2 linked regions of the Styela clava genome follow. The protein of the gene in region 2 binds, or shares a complex with, the protein of the main gene of each other region. Links are inferred from orthologs where the notes say so. Each region holds a gene or a part of one and is shown on either strand. Other genes may lie near its edges.

What was found.
Region 1: the proteins of cold shock domain-containing protein E1-like (region 2) and polyadenylate-binding protein 4-like are in contact, whole or in part, in a crystal structure (PDB 7ZHR), measured with the Drosophila melanogaster proteins. The link is inferred for Styela clava from reciprocal best matches to the Drosophila melanogaster genes Unr and pAbp. Residues at the interface, in NP_648226.2 of Drosophila melanogaster: Leu843, Glu844, Thr845, Thr846, His847, Asn848, Gly849, Val850, Glu870, Ile871, Leu872, Asp873, Glu874, Thr878, Val879, Ile880, Ser881, His883, Leu902, Ile907, Asp908; in NP_476667.1 of Drosophila melanogaster: Asn184, Tyr186, Lys188, Ser211, Lys213, Met215, Phe225, Phe227, Ala229, Tyr255, Ala257, Arg258, Ala259, Gln260, Lys261.

Annotation. Positions count from the first base shown.
Region 1 is NC_135251.1:14,960,936-14,973,299, forward strand, and holds polyadenylate-binding protein 4-like, read right to left. Parts: upstream 5,002-12,364; 5' UTR 4,838-5,001; coding exon 2,855-4,837; 3' UTR 1,919-2,854; downstream 1-1,918.
Region 2 is NC_135255.1:1,852,942-1,865,776, reverse strand, and holds the start of cold shock domain-containing protein E1-like, read right to left. Parts: upstream 6,748-12,835; 5' UTR 6,494-6,747; intron 5,412-6,493; 5' UTR 5,281-5,411; intron 2,663-5,280; 5' UTR 2,645-2,662; coding exon 2,536-2,644; intron 1,949-2,535; coding exon 1,860-1,948; intron 1-1,859. UniProt on the Drosophila melanogaster protein: RNA-binding protein that acts as a regulator of dosage compensation in both males and females.

The sequences.
Region 1 (12,364 bases), on a different chromosome or scaffold from region 2:
TACGGTGCAGTCGTATACGTACCGTACCGGTACCCAGGTACGGTACCGTACCGGTACTGGGGTACGGTAGGCCTACCTACTGCTGTACTGTGAAAATACTGCAATACTGGTACCGTACCTCTAGTCTCTCTTCTCTGCAAAATAGGATGCACCCACCACCTTCTTCTTTTGCATCTATTTTTTTTATCCTTGCGTCTTTTCAGCCACAACAGTAATCCCAATTTTTGATGTTTGCTCAAAGCCATCGCCAAACCACAGAACAAAGCACCGGAACTCAACTCAAATCTCAGACAACGCAGCGCGTCAACGCAAAGGAATGTTTCCTCGAGAATTCGTTGCGTTGACGCAGTGCGCCAAAATGATGCGTTAACGCAACAACGCAAGTTTACTTAAACAATTAAAGAATAACGCACTGGTGTGAACAGATGTGAATGGGCCCTTATTGAGTGAATCGAGGCGATTAAAAACTAATGCCCATAACTAAATGACGGTTTCCGTTACATTCTGCAAGACCCTTGGGGATTTACAGCATGGAATCAATAAACCGCTATAATATTCTCATCCCTATCGATTACTGGAGTCAAACGAGGTGTGGATGGCATTGTACATGCAAATACTCAAAAGCATGATGGTATTGATAGACAATTTTATATCCGAACTAAGCAAGCATGTTTTGAAAGCTTAGCACGAAACCCCAACCGCCACAACATGTTGCAATCAAACGTTAGCTTGATTAAACATTTTCCATTTGTGTAATTCTTACCTCTGCGACTATTTTTGCTATAAGATGAAACTCTCCGTTAATGTGCGATGAAAAAAGTTGAGAATCACAGCTCTAGGCGACTCTTGAGCAGTTTCATTCAATTCAACACCGACGCAAATATTCTCCGATGTATTATTTAAAACCATAGTCCAAGTCCATGCTTCCGAAAAAAACAAACAATACAGTAAAAAACTAATCCCATACCCGACTTGGAATGGTAACCGGACGAGAGGCCGTGGTTCGCCATATGGATAAGCCGTCTTATCGGCTTTCCTATCCCCGGGATAATTATGTAAATCCTATCCTATCCCTATGTTGTGTATTGTAGGTTATGGTTTTTATTCTACGTGTTTACAAAACGAAAAAAAAATAGAATATTTGAAGAAAGAAGAATTTAAAAAAAAAATAGAGTTTGGGTTATCAGAGTCATCTCCTGTCAATAAACCCACTGAATCCTGAACATTACTGAGAGTAGGTCTTCTTCCATGTTTGGAACGCAGCATGTAAAACGACTAAGCACTCACTGAACAGCTTCAGTAGGCTACAGAGCCAAGCAAACCTTCACAAAGCCAAAATATTTCAGTAGTATAAAATATCACATTTACTGGGAGTATGTATGGTCAAGCGTCTTTTCTTCAAAAACCAAACAACTTTTCGTGACAAGCAAATCTATTGTCAAACGTTTTGTTAATCGGCGATGAATAGTTACCATACGAAATTTGATTTTTAATATTGTTTCGCATAAAGCATTTATATCAGCGAGATCAATACAAGGAGCCATTTTGACCGCGCGTATCTTTAATACTTGGTTTCTCAAGATGACGCTAATACATGTATCATGATTGTAGCGTCAACAAACTACTTGACCCGAAAACGGTGACGATTAAGTTCTCGGAAATTTTATCAGTCAATAAGTATTTTGCAATAACTCATGCCCTACGGCTAGCAACATTAGATGATCCGAAAGTCTTATAATTGTCGGTTTCGAGTCTTCAAATGGCCGAAACAATCGATGGTAATTTTGTAAAACAAGATAAGGGCGCAACCAGTGTAAAACATCGCAAACGCAACTAAATTGGAAACTTGGTGAAATTTGCTGGTAGTTCCAAGTTACTACAATCTGAAGTCCCAACATAATTAAATGACACAATTAGATGCATGCTATTATCATTTTAATGAAATGTTACTAGACCAAAAAAAAGACACCACTGTGCAGTAATTTCAAATACCATATATATGAGCAAACAGTAAACCAATGATTTACAACAACATTGATGTATATTCTTGGCAAATGAGTGCTTTCAAGAAATCGTGGAAGTCAGCTATGAATAAACTACCTAAAAGACGTAGTCACTGAACAGTATTGTCGTTTCATTAACACCCTACTGTGTTAGTAGTTATAGTTGCATTAAATTATTCATAATTGACATCCAAATCTTAATTAATAGCCCACAAGAATAAAACGATAAAATTTGCACTTAGTGATCACCAGCTTACAAGCATGGATGTTTATTTACACAGAGTGGAGTGGCCGAAAAAGAAACAGTTTACTTTTCGTACTAAATTCGATCATTTTTCAATTTTTTTCTTGGTTTTTTAATTATTCTGGGTAAATTCAAACACACTCAATCCCCTGGTATTATTTGACAATCCTTTCATATACCAATCTGGGAGAAAGAGGGCTAAAACAACTTAAAAAAATTAGAGCAGTCCCTGAAAAGGACACACAGAACAAACAAGGTCATCAAAATCTCATCCAGAGATCTATTAATGTGTTTTGAGGGATGGTAAGAACTACTACTATTATCTTTGAGGTCAGTTTGGCAAACATGGAAAAAACAAGTCAGAGTTCCGAAAATTCAAGTTAAATGGTTGAAAACTGTCAAAAGTTGGTTTTTGAAATTTGTAATATTCTTGATATTTTTTTTATTTTATTTTTCAGTATTTTTTCACCTGGATTTAAGTCGTAAAACCAGGGGCTCAGTAATTTTTTTTTTTATTAGGATAATTTTTTGTGGGGCAAAAGTAGGATGATTTTTAAAAACGAAACAGTTCACACATAACACCGACGATTATTATCTTTCGAATTTGTTACTCTTGACCACCTACAGGAACCGGATTCTGAGCAGCGTTGTTAACCTGGTTGATTTGTTGTACACCGGTAATGCCTTGATTTTGAACAGGCTGAGAAGCAGGTTGTGCTTGTCGACTTGCTGCCTGCATCTTTGCTTGATGTGCCTGGAGAACAGCCACGGCCTCTTCCATCTTTGCTTTGAGAGAGTCTCTAGATTCCAACATGTGAAGCAATTCAGAATTGTCAATTTCCAACAACATTCCAGTAATCTTTGAAGCGAGAGTCGGGTGTTGTGCTTCGATGAGTGGGTAAAGACGTTCACCCAACATCTGCTTTTGCTCATGGGGTGGAGCAGATGCCAACATGCTTGCTGTAAGCGGCTCTTGACCTTGAACATGCACAGCAGGCTGTACTGTTTCAACTTGCTGTTGGACTTGGGCTTGTTGGTTGACACCACCAGCCATCGAAGCAGGGTTGCGGACACTTTGATTGTATTTGAAAGGTTGTCGATTTTGTTGCATGTATATTGGCTGTTGGCGGCTCTGTAGCATATCAATGCGATGTTGTTGTTGTTGCTGAAGACCATTCCTGGCTGAAACTGGGGCAGTCATTGGGCGAATAGCGGGCCCTCCACCATGTGGTGCACGAATGCTTCCAGGAATTTGGAATCCTGGCTGAGCAGTGGCAGCTTGCCATCTTGGTGTTGCCCTAATAAGCTGGTGACCCTGCATGTAGCGACTCTGACCATGAATTGGCATGAAGTATCCAGGAGCACCTGATTGGAATGACTGTCCTATCATTTGGTTTGGAGGAGCAACTCTCATTCCCATTGAATTGGAAACTCTCTGCATGTATTGAGCAGCCAAATGAGCTTTTCGGTCTTCTTTTCTTTGAGCTAAAGCTACGTAGAGTGGCTTACTCCCAACAATACGACCATTCATTTCTGTTACTGCTTTAGTTGCTTCATCTGGTGCACTGAAACAAACAAATCCAAATCCTTTAGAACGTTCGCCATCAGTCATAACTTTTGCACTAGTTATGGTTCCGAAGGATGCAAACGCTTCACGCAAACTATCATCTCTGATGGAATCATCAAGATTTTTTACATACAGGTTGACTCCTTGGTATCGCTGAATTTGCTCTTGCTTTTGTCTTTCATACCTCTGTCGAATTTCAGACATCCGTTCAGATTTTTTCTGGGCGCGACCTACGTAGATCTCTTGTCCACCAATTTCTTTTCCGTTCGTTTCAGCAACAGCCTTTGCAGCGTCATCGTGGTTTTCGAAAGCAACAAATCCGAATCCAAGGGATTTTCCTTCAGGATCTTGCATCACAGCAACACTCCGTAGAGGACCAAACTGTGAAAACATTTCCCTCATCTTTTCGTCATTTAGAGCATCGGCAAAATTTTTGATGTAGATATTAGTGAAATTTTTTTGTCTCTCGCCAATCAACTTGTGTCTTTCTGATCGTGAAATGAATTTTCCAACAAATACTTTCTTGTCATTCAGTAACATTCCATCTACTTTCTCTATCGCACGCTGTGCAGCTTCCTCGGTTTCGAAATGCACAAAACCATATCCTTTGGATCCATTCATGTCACACGAAACTTTGCATGACAAAATATTGCCAAACGCAGAGAAAGTATCATACAGAGCTTTATTGTCAATAGACTTGTCCAAATTTTTGATGAAAATGTTGCCAACACCAGATTTTCTCAGTCCTGGATCACGTTGACTCCACATGATGCGAATGGGTTGACCTTTGATGGGATCAAAGTTCATGGTGTCCAAAGCTCGTTCTGCATCAGCCGGCTGCTGAAAATTGACGTATGCGTAGCCAAGCGAACGTCTGGTGACCATGTCCCGACAGACGCGAATGGACAGCACTGGGCCAGCTTGAGAGAATTTCTCATAAAGCATAGCCTCCGTCGCGTCAGGATGAAGGTCACCAACATAAAGTGAAGCCATTGGGTAGCTGGTAGGTCCTGCGTTATTCATTTTCCTCTTTTTTGTCGATCGTCACAGATCTGATTTTAATTTTTTATATTTTTTTAGTGTTTTTGACACTTTTTTAAATTTTTTTGTAGGGTTTTTAGGATTTTTAACAAACAAATTGTGACCGGGAACCCAGTACACAATAGTTTCTGAAAAAATAAAATGCATGAAATATTCAATGAGTGTTCTTAACGAAGGGAATATGACCATAGATGAAAATATGTTTTTGCAGTATGCCAATTTCCAATGCAGAACATCATACCGCCTCATAACATTAGAAACAACTTCCACAACTATTTAGGACGTGAACATCCGTATTATGTCTGTAATTTATATTTCTGTGAATCCTCCCTCTCCTACAAGTATTCCCCTGGACATGTGGCAGACGGCGTCGGATAAATAGTATTTTTCTCATTCGGAACTGTACGTAAAGCGTGATAAACTCGTCATTATGCGATAATCTGACACAAGACACTAAGTACAACCTAAGGATTGAATCCGCAAATTCAATTCTCAACTGAACACAAGTGAATATTAAGTAAAAAAAGCGATGTGATAATATATATATATATACATAATATAGCGGGTAACAAATCGCAAAAATTTCGTGATTTTCGATCAGAAATGTGAAATTTTGCTAACGGCGATATCTTAAATATAGCGAAGATAAATTACGGAGATCGCAAAAATTAGAATCAATTCTAATTATAATGAAATGTACTGTTTATGTACGCAGATTGTAGTAATTCAGAGCAGTAATACTAATATTTTATCGAAGTCGGCACAACGTCGAGTTTCGTTGAATATGATTAAATTAATAAGGCAAAACACTTTTAATGCTTTCGGCCACGGACTGAATATTTGCGCAACAGAAAAAATCATTATCGCTGAAAAAAAACAATTATAACGAATGACGAAATCGCGCGACTGTTTCAATCAGGATTTCCTTTCCTGGTTTTGAATACAAAATAAAATTTAAGGAAAACATAGTTTGGTGCAAGTTATCTGGCATTTTGAACAAAGTAGAACTGCTGATTCTTTTTTTTTCAACATCTTATTTGGTAGAAAAGGTGTCATCAAATTTAGTACCGTAAAAGTGTCTAACTTCGGCCAAAATTATCATATTTTTGTCAATAATTCAACCATTCATTGTCAAAAAAATTGCTCGGTAAAGCATTCGTGAGGTAATTTACATTCTCTGCAAATTTCGGGTAAATTGGACTATTTTTACTCTTGAAATAATCTATTTTTCTTGCCATCTGAGCGTTATTCTTCACTGCCTAACTTCGGACAGTCATTTTCCTCACTGCGTAACCGCGACGCACAAAGAGAAAAAAAAAAGGCTCCTGATGCGGGTGACGTAGTCACGTCTCAACAGGCTTGTATTGTAAGTCTTTGAAATATTAATATTCTCAACGAATAGCTTTGTTGATGTTACGCTGTTATCTTTATTAGTGATAAATTTATATCACACACGTCGAACCCAATTGTAAAGTTTAATCTTCAACTTCATCTTGTTAACTTTGAGATATGTCTCTGGATTTATGTTAAAAATTAAATCAATTTTTCACTTTGAGTGAAGAAAATTTACCCAGGCTGTATTCAATCACTGCCATTTTGATTTCAATTCAACGAATAATTGTGAAATTAGTATACAGTGCAATATGGACGTTGGAATTTTTCTAGTTTTTCTGTTTTTATAAGTTATCCGATTTTGGACGCCGTCGATTAACATATTCTCATTAATGTGATTTTGGCATATATTCACACATGGATCGAACAAAATACAAAAATATTACATTGGAAAGCCGTCTTTGTCTAAACGAAAAATGTCAATTTGGCGCCATTATGTCAGTCGTCAAAATTCATTTCCGCAACTCAGTGTGATGTCGTCTCGGAATTGAGCGAATCAACTTTTGACGAAAAAATTATTATGTAACATTAAAAAAATTGAGAATAGATGTACATATAACAGCACCACCTATAATAATTATATAGGTTAGACATATAAAGTTAGACACTTTTACGGTAACTGATTAAAATGTACCGGTATTCAAATATTAATAAACTTTGTTGAAATTCATCCATCTTATTAAAAACATCATTCGCCATGATCAGTCTACTTCAGTATTGTTTAATTGATTTGCAATAGATTGAGAGATTAGTTTGTAACTTGATGTTTTGTTAAAATGTTGGGGAACCAGTTTCTATACCACGAAACGCCGTGACCATACGTCTTATCGTTTTGATGCAGCCATAATTCTGAAAAACATTGATCCTGTGTCATTTAGTTTCTGAACCCAGGAACCCATGGACTGACCTAGTCAAACAAACATAATTCAGTACCGTACCTTCAGACTATAGCTATAACAGTATAATCTATACTGCAATAAATTCAAGTTAGTCAAACATATCATTGGTTTTACGCTTTAGCCAAGCAACGGTACCGGTACCAGTACTTCAGTATTTTCCAACTTAGCTTGAATTCTGAAATTTTCATAATTATGGAAATACGGTAACGTTACCGGTACCTGAATACTGGAATGGACCAATCCCTAAAATCAATACGTTTTTATACGCCGTCGTAAGGGTATAACATACTGGAATAACCGTTTAGGCCTAATGCTCTGAGCTGAGCTAATTCCGACAGGAAATAAAGCATCACAATCTGTAACTGTTTTTTTTTTTTCAATTTTCGTAACGGTACCGTATTATTACGCTGGCTACCAGGTTATAACAGATTGTCGAAAACAGCTAAAGCAACGCATTTAAATGGTACCGTTATATCCTCTACCTCGAACATCCTGTATTTGAATTTTATAAAGCTCATAACAAAATTGCTTTCTGTAACACGGATTAACCTGGATAAAAAGAACGAAACGCAACAGATTGCGCCACACACCAGCTTTCTCTGTTTGCGTTTGTCACGTTTTTGGACGTCACTTCCTGTCGCCCATAAGTTTCTATTTGATGATATAGCTCTATTGCGCTCCTTGTGTTGGAAATAGAGAGAGACAGAGAGAGTTTATTTCATTTTGTCAAACCAAGAAAACAATTTATGCACACATAAACGAATATCAAAAAAATAGTTTTCGATATATGACTGGGGGGCAACGATACGACCTTTGGGGGTCATCAGGACAGAGCTTTGCAATTTGCATGTAACAAACTGGGTTACAAATATGCGCTTCAGAATGCTATTTATATATAAGCTTCAGAATGCTATTTATTCATCTTTCCGTATATCCAAAATCAAAATGCACATACATTCACATAAATGAAAGAGATAGAGAGTGAGATTTATTGCCACAAAAACAAAATGAAATAAATATAATGTTATCTTGCATTTATGGATGGGCGGACATGATGAGCATATGGGCGGACCAGACCAAACAATTACCAACTTTCATGACCTTTGACCGATGCTGCCAGCAACATATTTCGAGGGAACGCTCGTCTAACCACGCCATTACAAACTTCACGGGGTTGCTATATACCTGCTCCGAAAAGCTTTCTGTGTGTAAATGTTGCTTCAACAGTCTTTTTAATAATATAAATTTAATACTGACCAACTTTTGTTAAGTTGCATGTACAGTACCATCGTCTATTTGTCGGTTGAGTTGAGTACCGATACGGTATCGAACCTGGTAGTGGTGCACCCGTACCAGTACTGCAGTACCGTCAGAGGACCGGATATCGTGTTAAACTAGCCCACCGTGTACCTTAAAACACTAAAATATTACGAAAAACCTACTTTAGTGCAGCATTTCGCGGATCATTTACCGCCCAACCACATGCAAATACAAAGCAAAATCGCAGCGTTCCCCCCAAACAGTGGTTCTGGCAGCAGTCGTCACGCTCTGTTGAGCAGTATAAAAGTCGGTAATTCTTAGACTTCAGATGAGTTTCTGATGTGGAACAAGTAAGCTATGCTCAAATATATGAACACGTCACAAAGTACCGCTATTTTATTATTCTGACACATAAAAAACAAATCTCTAGTTAACAGAAATTTTTGAAATAAATAAAAGTAATAGCCTTCTGGTGAAAAAATCAATCTTTAACCAATGAAAATTCCAAAGCAATTGGTTCAGTAATCAAAGAGAAAAGCGTTTTTTGTAATCGTTAAAATTCTTAAAAAGAGTGCCAGCATAAAATGCAAAACGATCGTCATGTCCACTGACGTGTCAACAACAGCGTTTTTTTAGTTGACTAGTGAATTTTCATGACGAATTCAAAAAAATTGCTGAAATCAGATAAATTTGGTCTGTAAAGTCGCACAGTTTGGTGGAGTCATGTACACTAGGATAGGATTTACATATTTATCCCATGGGAGAGGAAAGCCGATAAGACGGCTTATCCATATGGCGAACCACGGCCTCTCGTCCGGTTACCATTCCAAGTCGGGTATGGGATTAGTTATATTGTTTGTTTTCGGAAGCATGGACTTGGTGGTGGAGGAAGCCGTAACCGACCAGCGGTTACGTGAACCACCCAACGACGGCGAGGAGTCCAGCAATCCTCTCGCACATAACCATCCCTGCATGGGATTCGAACCTGCGAACCCACGCAGAGTAAATAAAGGTGCGGTGGCGAGCGTATTCCTATCGTTTCGACCCGCACAGTTTGCTGAAGCTTTCATTGTTCTGCATTCAAAAGTCATTGCCCGATTTTATTACGTTCTTTAACTGTTTTTGGTGGACGGGCGCGTACCTGTACGTCTTTTAACTTTGTTTTTAAGTTATGCCTGTCCTCGGCATTTTTATCGTCCGTTGTTTATTGTATTTTTCTTTTGTTGCATAGATACCAAAATAAAATTGATTAATGGAAGCATAAATATGTTCCGACTCGTTACGGGCATCTCCACTGCCACTTTTGAAGATTTTTTACAAAATAGTTAAGACAAGAAGAAATTTTCCATTGCATAGGCCTATGTATATGTCAAAATGTTGCTACAAACTGAGCCCGATTTTGTATTTTACTTTAGTTGAAAATTTAAATAGACCTTCCTCTTACTGTCTATATGCTTCGCCTTGACTTAGGACAAAGCATACAGTATATAAAATATCGGAGAAATTCCGATTAACGAATTTATTACGCTAGTATATAGAATATTTGATAATGTGGCTCGGTCCAAAGCCTTTAGCCTGTTATTTTTCTGGAAGCATAGACCTTGATTTTATGAAAAACTGTAGCCAATGTAAACAATCCTGCAAAGTCAAAGCTTCCAGCAATACTTTCGCACCGCATTTACCCACACGTAATTCCAATGTTCGTGGCGAGAAAGCTTCCTTCTCAGCAGACAGATTTGTATTGAATCATATGATGAAAATATCTGCTTCATTATTATATTAAAGTCCTACACAATGGCAACTACCGAAAGTCTGTTGCCGCAAAGTAGAATAATCCCCAAAATATTATATACTGTATATTTCAACAAGAATCGTTTATTGCAAAACACCATTGTCGCAGAAGTTTTATTCTGTATACTGGCAATTACTGATATATATATATATCTTATATTTCTACGTGCTACTATTTGTAGTTGAACCGCTAAATATATCGCAAAACTGCTATTTTATACTTAAAATTTAAAGACAATCTTAAAATACACACGTGTAGAAGAAAAACAAAAATAGGAAAAAAGAAAACGGAGATTAAAAGGCAATTAAAACAAAAAGTTGTGTCATAACACACCAATATTATATGTGTGAGTCTAAACATTCATAAAACGCTCTGAAGTATATTGGAAAATAAAAACGACCCACACAATTTTCATTCCTACATTTTATTATTCTGGGCTGTTATTTGATTCTATGGAAGAGGGACGGGCGACATTGGATGACTTCCCCGACAATATTACCCGTAGTGAATACAGTCCAAAAAAGAAAAAATGGCCGATAATGCATCCTAACGTACATGCAGCAACTCCTATACCAGCAGCTAAGCCGGGATTATTCGCCCAATCGAGAATCGAATAAACAGCTGATGTGACCCCAGCGAAATGGAAAATTAACGTTGCTGAGACGTAGGCGACAGCAAAAGTAAATGGATACACTACGTGGAAAAGTCGCATTGGAAACGCTACTACAAATAATCAATTACACTTAATACTACGTTTATGCCATGGGTATGGTAACTAAATGTAATAGGAGGATTACTTGAAATGCGGTCCAATACAAAACGGTGACGATATTAAAAGTTTGCGTCGCTGAATGAAAGACCCACATAAAATCCCGTAGAGCTTTCGTTGATCATGTAGAAACAAACGCAGTCATATCAAATATCTGATTTGTTAAGATTTATTGTTTACAGTAGCAATAATCTCAACAGGTTTATTTGCCCAATGAAAAAATAGATCCGGAATGAATTTAATAAAAGGTTAAAACTGAAGTTCCAGTAGCACTGATGTGTAACTCAAATGCAACAATGGTTTAAACCAGCAATGGCTAACCTGCGGTTCGCGAGCCGCACGCGGCCCTTGCTCCGGTTCCATGCGGCTCTTTTCGTCTTGGTTATTTTAAGAAAAAATAACTTGCAAACTACGATCCATCATGTTTCGATTGAATATATTATGATTCATCGTGAATTCTTTTTTTAAGCAGAAGACACACGAGCGCCTTCATTCGCTTACTATGCAATTGTCCAGTATTACGTCACAATTACATACCTTGTTGTGCAACGACTGCACTACAACGACTGTCGAAAACGAAGTTCGGCGGAAACGCGCAATTCACTATTTGAGTACGCCGTCGACGGATCCATTTAATTCTGTGACGGATTGTTTGATACTCCATCTAGTCTCAGGTGAGGCTGCAACCGAGTTGATGATGATATTAATTTATTAGAAAGACCAAATGAAATGCGATTAAAGGGAAAGAATCTATTGAGTTATGGAAAAGCATAACAATGGAAAAATACCCCAATACCAAACGAGCAGCGTATAGGATATTGTCAATGTTTGGGTCAGCATACGCCTGTGAATCTGTGTTTTACGCTCTAAAACACGTGAAATTAAAGCTTTGATCAGTTTTGACTGACACCCATGTAAAAGAACTGTTTCGATTGGTTACAACGAGATACAAGCGAGCTTCGAAAAGGATTGTCAATCCAGGGAACGCCAGAAGTCCCGCTAGGTAGCAAGCAATCAATCAAATCGTTTCTTATTAGACGTCTAGCTCCAGGCAAACGGGCACAAAAAAAATTTAAAATATATACATGCATTTGCCCAGAATTGACAGGATGGCCGCGAAATGACTATTCGGTCTACTTGTTAACGGCTACCGTTCAATAGCTGTATTAAATAAAATTTGGGAATCGAACACAAGTGAATGCTTTTAGCAATGCTGTGGCCCCTCTATATTACTTTGATGCAATGCTGTTCTAGCAGTTAGACGTTTTCGAAGGAGAATTCAGAGAGGAAGTTGAGTATTATAACATGTACTTATAATAAATTTAACTGTAGTTCAATAAAGAAATACTCATACTGATATCTGAGTAGGAAAAAAAACATTTCATAAGTGTAAAGAT
Region 2 (12,835 bases):
CTGGAAGTTATTGAAAAATAGCTAAGAATTAGTAAAAAAAATTAAAATGGATGTTTTTTATGAAAAAAGTAAAATTTGATGTGTTTTTATACTTAATCTTGCAATCTTAACCATTTTATAGACACACATCAAATTTTATTTTTCAATTAATTTTTTACAATATAATTATAATGTATTATATTGGGAGTTGGGACTAATATAAAAACACTGTATATGTATCCCACAGATGCATTATATATCTAGGATATGATATGGGCTCATGATTTATGCAACAGCATTGTGCCCAGATATTGTTTCACATTTGGTAATGAACTGTTACTGATTAAGAATAATAACATGAACAGAAAAAGACCAATGATGTCGATCACTACTTTAATTTGATTCCCGAATTCAAGTGTTACGCCTCATATTCATAAAATATCCTTTTGATAATCAATCACTCATAATATTGTCATGTGACAAACCAAAAACAAATTATGGAATACACATATTGGCTAAGAGCATAGGCAATAAACGACATTTGATACGAAGTTCACTGCTAGTCCATACTTTGCACGCGACTTAAAGTAAGATTGGAGATGGAAAATGAGCATGATCGCTGATCACCGTGCGTGGACACCAATTTTTTATTTTTCTTACCTTCGCATATAAAGAATATTTTTTTTTCTAACCTAGTTTAGACCATTTCTTCTAACCATTTTGACCACAAAGCGAAAGTCCATGACCAAAATCAAATGGCTCAGATTACGAAAATATAAACATTGAAAGTATTAAATAGCAAAGACTAAAGAGTCATCAATGGAATGATTTTTTAACAAATAGTTTTCATACCAAACAATGAAAACGAAGAAAATGATATGTAAACCGCTTATGAAAATCAAAGCACAAAAATATGTACATATATAGTTTTGACTATAAATTAAACCCATTTTGTAAATATTTGCATTGTTATAAACCAACATAAAATTACCTATCAAATGCAATTTCTCTGTATATCGTAAAATATTTCAAAGTACACAATATTTTCATAGTATAGTCAACAATGAAACCTAACCTGAACCCTAACCTGGTACTTAACCTGAGTTCAGGTTTTGCGCCATCTTGGTGCGCATACTTCAGGAGGTCCCATTATTGTGTTAAAATATCCCTTTTTTCTTTTATGCGTTCATTTTTTTTACATGGATAGGTTTTATTGCAAGTCTTGTAGGTTCTACAGCTCAAAAAATTTGCTCCATAGTCAACAATATGTTGAACGTTTGCATAGATTGCAAGAAGTTAAAAAGCTAAACAATGTATAATTTTTCAGGAAATTGGTCATGATTGACTTGGAAAAAAATGATCTACCGAAATAACCTTTGAAGAATGGACTCGTTTTCAGTTTTCACCAAAATTTCATATAATAATACTTGCCAAAATATCTTGTGATACTGAGAGCATTTGGCCCACAATCAATATGCCATATATAAATTAGTCATATTATAATACCATTAATAATTTAATGATATATTTAATAAAGATTCAAGTCTGCCACAAGACGCAGATTTGCCAATAAATTTTCTTCCTTCTGCGTAAACTTTTGATCCGCCTTGGATTTGAGTATGACGATGATGAAGAATTTGAGTTGTGAAAAATGCAACAAAATTAACCAGAGACCAAATTTTTAGTTATTTCATTAGTAATTGAACCCTACCTCAAAACAGGAAATCGTTTTTTCCTCCTACATAAATTCACAGGGGTAACACTGATTAACCCAAAATAAATTATTCATAGCAATTATTGAATCTCGAATAAACCTGTAGGCATTTGCTGATAAAGCTTTCTATGTCAAATAAGTATAAAACTTGGTTATTATAAAAAACCTGAAGTTGTTTTTCTTTTATTTCATTTCTGCTATTGATTCCTCCTGTGATCAAAGCCTTCTGCTGTGTAGTTAGAGCAATACTTCCGGCTAAAATAGATTTGTGAATGGTTTAATTGTTCATTCATTTGTATCATTGAGACTTCCTATGATTTCTTCCCAACAAGAAAAATTCAGTTTGAAATACAAAGCTACAAAACAGAATGATCCAAGTTTTTCAGTTTGTCACAGCTATCGTATCGATACAGAGACATTGGTTTCAAGTCAAGTCAATTTTTTCTCAACCAGTAAAATCAACAACAATCGAGCACAAATTACGAGAAAATGATAAGTACACTACACATTTTTACTGGAGAAGGGAAATCGCGGGGAACCAAAGCTGGTTATCGAGCAGCGACACCTGAGGTTCAAATTTCTAATTTAAGAAAAATTGAAATTTTGTTTGGAGTTTGGAATCCACCGTCTTTGACGCTGTCTTTCAATATTATCAGTGAACGGCAAAAGTAACCTACAGTATGTTACTGGCTACGCTTGTACAGGTTTGACTACCAGTACAGAGTTTGTTTGATTTATAGAATGTCACTAAGTTCATATTTTATGTAAGAATCATGATTATCAAAGCACAGAATAACTTTATCTTATGTAACTTTGGTAAATGCAATTCAAATAAGTGAAACCTGAACTTCCAAAATTTGATCGGACTGATTGATTATTGGGAAATTGTCCATCTGGCCATCTTCCGAGTGGTGTGATGGGTGAGGGTTGGTTCGTGTTCATCCACATCATTGGAGGCTTTGGAAATGTCTGTAAAAATAATTCATTTCAAAATAATTTTCAATGTTCATATTTTTAACAAAATTATCAGATAATTGAGTTTTGAAGAAACATAATTTTAGATATATAATCCTCATTATGATGAGTGACAGCAAATCAAATCTGTATTAAAAAAGTTCAAAACAAAAAGACTGCAACAAGATTATTATTGTTAAAATAAATATTTTTTAAAGATGACTTTACATGAAAATGTAATAAAAATTCTGAACAAATATTATCTTTGACAGCATTCAGGGAAAATTAAACTTTGCAGATATATTTATCACAATAACATAATTTAGAATGTCAGAACACTATGATCCAGCCAAATTTAGAGTGTAATGTTTAGAAGTATGGAGTATGAAGTATGTGTGTTGCTACTTATTGTTTTTCATATTCTCAATGTCAAAGTTTATTATTATTATTTGGTACATTATCAGCATAAAAACTAATGCTCATTGTACCAATGCAAAAATTTCGTTGAAGCAGCGAGAGTTATACAGCGATCTCATTTATAGATATCTTAAAGACTATATTTCAACATATAGACATCATTCTATTCTATGTATTTATATTTAAACACAACATGGGTTCAGATGAGTCGTAACCCCCCGTTTGAGAAAAATTTTTGATATGAAATTTCATCTACAAAAAAACAAAAGCGTCGCTTTACGATCCTGCATCAGGGTTTCGCGGTCAAGACAATACTATTCTGTGCGTTATCACTGTAACGCAATTAACACCGCCGTACTTTTTTTGTCTTCACGATAAGTTATCTTTTTATTCGGCGCTGATAATGATAAAGAAGAATTTGTAATTGTTGATTGCAATTCCGGAAGGCGTATTTTCCTTTCGCTCCATGAAACAGACATGAAACTAATTTTGCCGACGATTATGACAAAATTATGAGATAAACATGCCTCATTGTCACGGAGTTTTCAGTCTTCTGGTAAAATCCCAAAAAAAACAATATATTTATTTTCACGACGATCGTTTCGGCGGCCGACATTTCATTTAATGTTGTTCAAAATGACAATACTCATTATTCGATGTTCGTTAAAAACAATCGAATAACTCAATTCAAAAAATAAGATCACCCGCCACTAATCACGGCGCAATTAAATAATCATTGAATGGCAACAGAAAATCAACTCAATTACCGGTAACTATAAATTCCATGTAACAGTTTCACATTTCGTGCATTTGATCAGCGCTACATACGAGAGTTTTTTTGTACATATAAACCATTATGATACTACTGACATCTGCAAGTTATAGCTCTCTCTAAAATTAATTTTCGCAATTTCAAATGTTTTATTTCTAAATGTGGGTACCCACTGACTACGGATTAATGGCCAATGTTTGAAACAGGACTGCAAAATATTCACCAAACACCGCCAGGCAAAGAGAGGGGGGCTATACGTAACTGTGGTGTGGAATTTCGCCGTGATCCGTGAATGACCATATATTTTAGTTTATTAAACGCATTACGTCGTCGTGAATTGTACTTTTGGTGAAATGTTTTAGTTTCACCATAATCCCTCCGTCGGAAAGGTCCTGGCTGCGCCCTTGAAAAATATTAAATAGTTGATTGATAATCTAGATCATCACTGTATAATGTCTATATTTCTAATTTGAACATGACATGACTAAAAGATTTTATAGCATATTCGGCTCTATGAACTCCTATCGCATAAAATTTTATCATTGTTTCAAGAACTATCCATCCATACATGCTATTAGATCATGACAATCTAATCCACATACGTACTTATGGTACATAATATGGATGTTATAAATATCTCGTTACAAAAAGTACCAACAGTTAGTTCACCACAAAAGATGATCTTTCATCCATTAGTGAATCCAATGAGTTTGAAGAAAGAAACATTATGACAGCGTATACAAACTGGTATGTTATAATGGTAATGCTAACAAAGCCTTTTATATGCTGGGTTGTATAAGGCAATGTTATATGGTAAACAAAACTAGATTACTAATCAATCCGTATTGTTTAGTACACTTATGTGCAGTACACCAATAAAAGATAACACTGACACAACATATTTTTCAAGAGCGAAAACAGAATGTATTGACACTACACAAAGAAATAGGAGCGTTCGCAGACAGATGCTCAGATTTCAAAATTGAGGATGAAACTGTAAAGAAAACATTGCATGGTCAGGAATTCTGGTTAGTCAAGCAGAACCCTATTCATATTGTCTTTTTTAGCTCATAGGCAATTTTTATAAATAGGTGTGCCATGCTAGATTGCTGCTGAATGTCAAAACTTTGTGATTTACCAACAAAATATTTAAGTGGATGTCTAATATTAAGTTAGTGAAGCAATGATTTGTAGTATCCTTCGATAATTTCACTGGTTTATATCTAGAAATTTGAGGAAGAAGCTGAGGCCAACAGTGGAACCAGACCACCTGAGATAATAAAAATTTCAGCAGTTGTCTGTGTATGATCCTTCAACATGGTATTGAATCTAAGTCAAATGAGCAAGATAATTTTCAGGATGGGCAAGCTATGAGTAGAATGAATAAAAATTGACACAGGATGTGGATAACATGTATAGACTGCTTTTAGCATACTTGACATACCTTAAAAAATTGCCAACACAATCAAAATGTAAAAATGTTGAATGTAATGTTAGTTTGCTGGTAAATTCTTCTGCTGCAACTTGCTTGTTAGTTCTTGTAAATTTCCATATGTTGTATTAGTTGAAAAAAATCTGCAGAGAATTGTCAGATTGTGGTGAAAAGATTGAACTAGTTCAATTTAAACAAAACACAAACAATTTATGGCCTGTATGGGCCACATTTCAAAATTTCAATGATTCTCACTACAGCAATACCAGACTATGCCAAGTGGTAGGGTCAGCAGTGGCAGTGAAGTCTGGAAGTGGTCCATGGGTCTCGTGTAGTTTCGTACCTAACGTACTTTTAATAGGCGTAGCATAACAATTTTTTGATATGTCAATCCTAACCCCCATTCGACTACGCCATCCAAAAATTATGTCATTACGACATCACAATCCCATCATAGTACTTGCCAAATATACGTCCGATCGTCCGAAATGGCATCAGCGATGACGATAAAGAACTGAATAACTTCATCGATCTCTCTCCTATTGGGATCATAGCGTCGAGAAAACGAGAGAAACAGCAGTTCGATTTCGGGTGGTCGTCTGCGCATCTTGGATGGCAGTTCGTACCGGTATAGTTCAATAGTATGAAAGGCTCCATTACCTCACTGCTGCACTGTGACGTCGTAGTGACGTAATTTTTGGATGGCGTAATAAGGTGGGGGTTAGGATTGACATGTGAAAAAAATGTTATGCTACGCCCACTAGAAGTATGTTACTGTGTTAGGTCTGTAGGTACGAAACTACATGCAGACATAACCTGTAGTCCCTTTCAAACTCCAACATTCTGACATTTTAGCTCTGTACGGTACCGGTACAGCGGTACCGTACCTTCAGAACTTAGATTCCATGTTACAGAATCTTACATGTTTCAAGAACATTAACAATTCATACAGTTGAGTCAGACACACAACTCAGCAAATGGACACTCAGACTACAGGGGTCTCATGTAGTTTCGTACGGTACCTGATGTACTTCTAGTACATGTAGTAGGCGTAGCATACGGTAACAATTTTTTCACGTGTTAATCCTAATCTTGTAATCCCCACTTGACCACAGCACTTTGTTTCAGGTTTAATACAAGAGGGACAAAGTTTAACAAACCATTACTATTGTGGACTAACGTTAAAACTTCTATATCGTAAACCTACACGTAAATTAGTGCTCACCTTTATTTAGACGTCAATTAAATTATCCCGAGACCCAATTTCCCCACGCCAATCCCGACGCTGCCCAGGCCGATCTCTCTTTCTTCCCAGCAGGTACGTAACGTAAGGAGAAAATGTCGGACGATTGCAACGCTGGATGGCGACTCTGCGTTGCAATATTTATGGCGAGAGGTAACTTGAAAGGAATTTCTTCATCTTATAAATATTGTTTACAAAATCGTAAAATGCATTCGACATTGACAACCCAAAAATTTAGACTACGGTAATATCAGGTCATTCAAAACTTTACTCCTATGATGTAACAATTGACTTTACGCCTAATGACGACACAACTGATGAGTTATTGTTTTCTTTATTACATAATAGTGTTGAAAAGTACGGAGGTTAATGGCTGAAAAAAAACACTACAAATAGGCCGGCCTATATTTTCAATCATCTTAGAATCACAAAAACAACCAAAAAGACTTTCGGTAATATCTATGTTGATTCTTCGACTTCAGTATTAGGCCGCGAGCCGAGGCCATTTATCTTTCAGTTTCGTAGCGCACATCAGGTAACTACCTGAAAATGATTTTAAAATGTTCCTTAGAAATTTAGTAACAAATATTGCCTTGTTCCCACTTCCAAAAGTTGCACGTTTTACAGAAAAGACGCTTTTACTGCAATAAATATGTGTTACCATCTGTCCTATTTTCTCTGCTTTTCCGGTATCATGGGCCAATGAACGCAGACTTCTGCACGACGTAACAGTCAAGTTAGTCAGCTGTAGGTGGATCCCCAGTGGTCGGATGAATATCAGATGTACTCAACTGCTCGCTTTTGCGTTGAGAGAGAGAGAGTTTATTTCATTTTGTCAAACCAAGAAAACAATTTATGCACACATAAACAAATATAAAAAAAAATAGTTTTCGGTATATGACTGGGGGGCAACGATACGACCTTTGGGGGTCATCAGAGTCAGTTGCCACCCAATTATATTAAATAAGCATAAAAAAAACAGGTTCGTGTCAATATTTCAATGTCTCTCACGATTTATACTATGTACAATATTTACATGAATTTACTATTCTTAATTATGGAAGCATTCTTTTAAATAATAGGATTTTGCACAAATTGAAATTATATTGCAAAATATAAAATGATCAAAACGAAAAAAAGTGGGAAAGCAGGTCAGACAAGCTACCCCTTATTTGGGTAACTTGTTTTATTGACTGAATTTAAGTTAAACATAACAAGTGGGATTTTGAACAAGCGAATATGGGTAGAGTTCTATTCTACACACACTAGTGCAATGTAATCAGATGCATGGGTTGAGTCATCAAAACAAATTAGAATTTGGTTTAAACAACAAAAAAATGCATTTTAAAAATGCAATACATTGTAAACTTTGTATAAACAAACAATCGATATTAAAATATCAAGAAAGTTAATGCAAAAACAAAACAGTTGACTTAATGTAGGAATAAATAAGATTCAATATTTCATAACACTATGTGAAATGATTCAGAACACTTTAAAAATAAACATCAAATATTAGTGTTTGTACATAGAAATAGAACAATTCATAAATCAAGGCCATTTATCCAGATTTTTACACTAATTGGTAGTAAATGGATTAATTTATCATAGATTAGCCAGGGATCTCAATAGGAAAGTATTGAGATATCGTTGGTAGGTCAAAGGTTGATGAAAAAGAGCTAATAACTTAGCATATTAACTTCATAAGATAGAAAAATTGAGTGGAACATTTTATTACACAAGTAGTTGAGTAGCCTTTCCATAGTTTTTTTCAGTTACCGGTAATATTAGTCCAGTTATTCTAAGGAGGTGTTGAAAAGTATAGGTAAGATATTAAACACTTGTATATCCTTGCCATAAATAGCAATTTTAGTTGAGCACTAGCTCATAAGACGTTGTTAAATAGGTACGGTGCGGTAACTCCAAGGAAGGCTAGACCTAGAATAATACTGTAATATGTCACAAACAACGATATTTTCTGGCTTGCATGAAATGTTTATGATTAATTTAATGACTCTTCTTGACTATTCAGCAGACTTATACTACTATATAGGCCACAGCATATTTGGAAATAGAAATGAATGGCTGTTTCTGTAATGCACGGTTGTGTGAAAGAGAAGAAATTAATCAATTTTACTAATGTCGGTTGGTCTAAATCTAAATTCATAGAGTCGACAAGAACCTGGGAAGCAATGATAAGTTATGCCGGAGTGGAAAGAAAGGTAGCATTGGAAATGATTGAGAGGTGAGAAATGAAGTTGTAGACAAACAGTTGATGTTTCAAAATATAGTCTATAGTCCATACTCATACTGTCATAGGACATTTCAGACTGTGATATACCGGTATCAAAATTTAGTGTAGATATAGTCTAGTAATGGTATGCAAACACTGCTGGACTGTAGAACATGCAATGAGCATATATACGCTCATTTAGTACATCAGATAAAATGCATTATGTATTCAAGGTATTAGTTAGTATTTAGGGGTATTTTTAAAATCATGCTGCTCCAAATATTATTTTCTTCCTTATTTTAGATACTGTACTACAAAAGAAAACGGCAATGTTCCACCAATCCGACCTAACGCAGGCTCTGATCCCTGCTGCTATCAGTGCTATAAAATGGATTAAACAAGAAGTCTTGAAGCTTAAAGGTATATGAGAATCATAATAGTTGCAAACAGCTTAGATGGGCTATTCATATTGAAATACTTTAGCACTTTTCTGCAATTGGAACTGCCCATCAAATTCATGTTGGAGACTTCATTGAGATTTTCAATTCATTTTTTTCCCTCGACTATGAAGATCTTTTGAGGTTAACGAGGTATTAATAAATAAAGCTGAGGAATTTGAAGAGGATATGAAGAATGTAAATGATACGGTACCAGGGCACGTCTATTTAACACTGTCAAACATAAGGATTATACTCTCCACCCAACAATGATTCACTGAAGAAGCATGTTGCCCTCAAATCAGTTCTTGAGTTGGCAAACTGCAAAGAAAAATAGTCAAAATAATTTATGAAAGTGTGCCAAAATCAACTTAAATTGCACAGATTTTTGTTTTTGTATTGACTGCAGAAATCACAGTACACCTATAGAGGAAAAGTCGATTTTTGAGCTAGTGGATTTCGAAAACAATTCAGAAGAAAGTGAATTAGATATTACAGTTGATTTAATAAGTATCATACATTTGTTTTTTTTTTCGGACATTTGTTAGTGTCGTAGTCCTGTTTCTAGAAATATTATTGCCTTTGTTCAAATACATAACCACATAAACTAAAAAAAGATTAATTGTAAATTGTAATATTTCTGTTCACTATGTTATGTACATATTGTACATTCATTTAATTTTCTTGATTTTTGCGGTAAATTTCTAAGTGAGAAATAACTGATTTATTTGTGTTTTCGTGCTCACGATGTTAATTTGTGACTTCATTGCTTAAAAATAAATACGTTTGATACTTGATAGCTTCTATAAAATGGATGTAGCTTTTTATGCTGTTCTTGTTGTAAAATGCTTGGGGTTATTACATAAAATTCATTCTCAAATGTGAATCAGCGTTGTTGGTGTCGCTGCTTTCGAGGTCACTCCCGACTCCTGTCACACAATTAAAGTATTTTTTGTTGTTGGTTACATGTATGCCATATTTTTCGTAATCTACCTAATAAATTATGATTGACTGAGGAAGTCCGATTTTGGTCAGGCAAAACATTACAGGAATACATTTGTGTTAGTGTGCTGTAGGGCTCTCGAATTGTATAGTTCTTATGTATGCGTTGTAAACTTATGGTTATTGAATTTCCGGGAACCTCTTATATTCAATTTCGCACCAGGATTGTGGAACAAGCTGTAATGCGTTCATTATGTTCGTTTTCCCACAAAACTGAAGAATTTATTTAGTTACCAGATGTGCGCTACGAAACTCATTTTCTGGGCGTTTTCATGGTTTCGTCTCACGGCCCATATCCGTGGTAAGGATCTACAAGTGTTTAATAATTTACTTATACATTTTTCAACAACGTCTTAGCATAACTTAACTAATAATAACTAAACAGGGCTGTGGAAAGCCTGCCCAACTCAGCGCAAGGTCGAGCAGAAATAACTAATATTCATCCGCTCGCTAACAGCTGGTTTAATTCAATTGTTACGTCATGCAGAAGTCATTGTTCAGTGCCGAAAATGTAGAGAATATAGGACAGATCGTAGCACATATTTCTTGTAGTAAAAGCGTCTTTTCCGTAAAACGTGCAACTTTTGGAAGTGGGAACAAGGCAATATTTGTTACTAAATTTTTAAGGAACATTTTAAAATCATTTTCAGGTAGTTACCTGATGTGCGCTACGAAACTCACTTTCTAGGCGTTTTTCAGGGCCTCGGCTCGCGGCCTATATGTTCCTCAGTTTTTCATTTTTGGAGGAATGATATTTCCAAATTTTGGGTGTGTAGAGATTTTGACATACAACGCTTTGTAAATAATATTAATAATAAGCACGAATCACGTGGTACTTGTCCCACGAATATTTAGAAAAAATTATAGTTGAAATCAATGAGGGAAAAAATATTTTGAACAACAACAACACAAATACTTCCCTTACTCCCATGTTACCGTGTTTTCCCAAAAATAAGACCTACCCAGAAAATAAGACCTAGCCTGAATTTTATGAATGGTTTTAATATAAGCCCTTCCCATAAAATAAGACATAGTCAATTTTTTTTTTACCTAGTCGATAGCAAGAAATGTCTCTTACAAGTTTTAAACGATTAATCTAAAACGCATGAAAGAGGAAAACGTGTTATTTATAAGTAAACTGGTATCGGTTTTCATATTTATATATTTGAAAATCTCGTAATTTGCTACTTTGTAATTTTGTTTTTGAAAAATGAAAGTATAAGACATCCCCCGAATATAATCCCTAATGGTATTTTCAAAGGAAAATCGTAACTAAGACCCGGTCTTATTTTCGGGGAAACACAGCAGTTAATTTACGTTCAACTCCTGTGTGTATGAGAGAACCATTGAGTTGTGTTCGAATATTAAAAAAAGACTAAACTTTTATAAATAGAATGCTAATGATTTAAACAAGAACAAAATGAAATTTGAATTCTGGGCCTAATATTTGGAACTTTGGTCAGATATTATTACCATGTTTCCTCGAAAATAAAACCGACCCTGAAAATAAGACCTAGCCTGAATTTTAAAACTGATTTAATATGAGCCCTCCCTTTAAAATAAGACCTAGTCAAATCGCGATTTTTTTTTGACGTAAGTCATTCAACGATTCATATAACACGCTATCAAAATAATCGATGGATGTTTTGAAAACGTTTTACACACAGTAGGCCTACGCCCTACGGCCACAAACGATCGGCATATTAGAAAGAAAATAGTTTCCATTCTACTTTTTCCATTAGCAAAATCGAAGTACAACACACTTTTTTGAAACTATTATGTAGGCGAAATCGTACGGAGTAGCCTATGAAGAAAATTTGTCCGCTCGTTCCATACAGAAACGATGACTCTTATGCGTAGCCACAGCCCACCCCACCAATTGATTTTCAACATTTTTTTTATGCAATTTCGCGACATTTACAGTGAGTCATAAATTTTTATGTCTTTTCCAACATCATTTTACTTTCTATTCTTGAGCGATTCACTAAAAAACTGACTTTTTCAGTCTTCCTGGCAAAAATCCTTTCACCAAATGAACAAACCAAGAATTGCGCACTTGTAGGCCTATATCTTGAATAACTTCGACGGCGAAGTAAGACTCTTAAAAGATTCTTCAAGATATTGTGAGCCAAAAGCCATCATCGTATCACGTCATTATACAAAAATAAAATTGTGCTGGGTACGTTCTGGCTCTTATGATTACTCATAAAGAAAGAGTACACACAGCTATTGTGAAAAATACAGGCACAACAATCGCAGTAGCTAAAATTTCCCTGAGCCAGTATTGATCGATGGACCATGAATGGATTGCAGACATGCTTTGAATACGAAACAAAAATCCCGTTTTATACATTTCGAACTCGTACGCATTGTAGAATGAAAATGATGCATAGGAGGATGGTGAAGAGTAAAAATAAAAGCTGAATGTCAAAAAAATGGAACAATGAGAATTTTTTATTATCACCCATGACCAGGGGCGGATTAAGCACATTTGGTGCCCTAAGCACTGAAGACTTTGGTGTCCCTTTATGTGTAATTTAATAAGTGTATTTGACGATTAAAAAAAATCACAACCAGCAGTAAATAAAACAACTTTTGCGAACATTTTTAGATTTTTTCCATATTTAGCAGATATATATATATCGGCCGTTT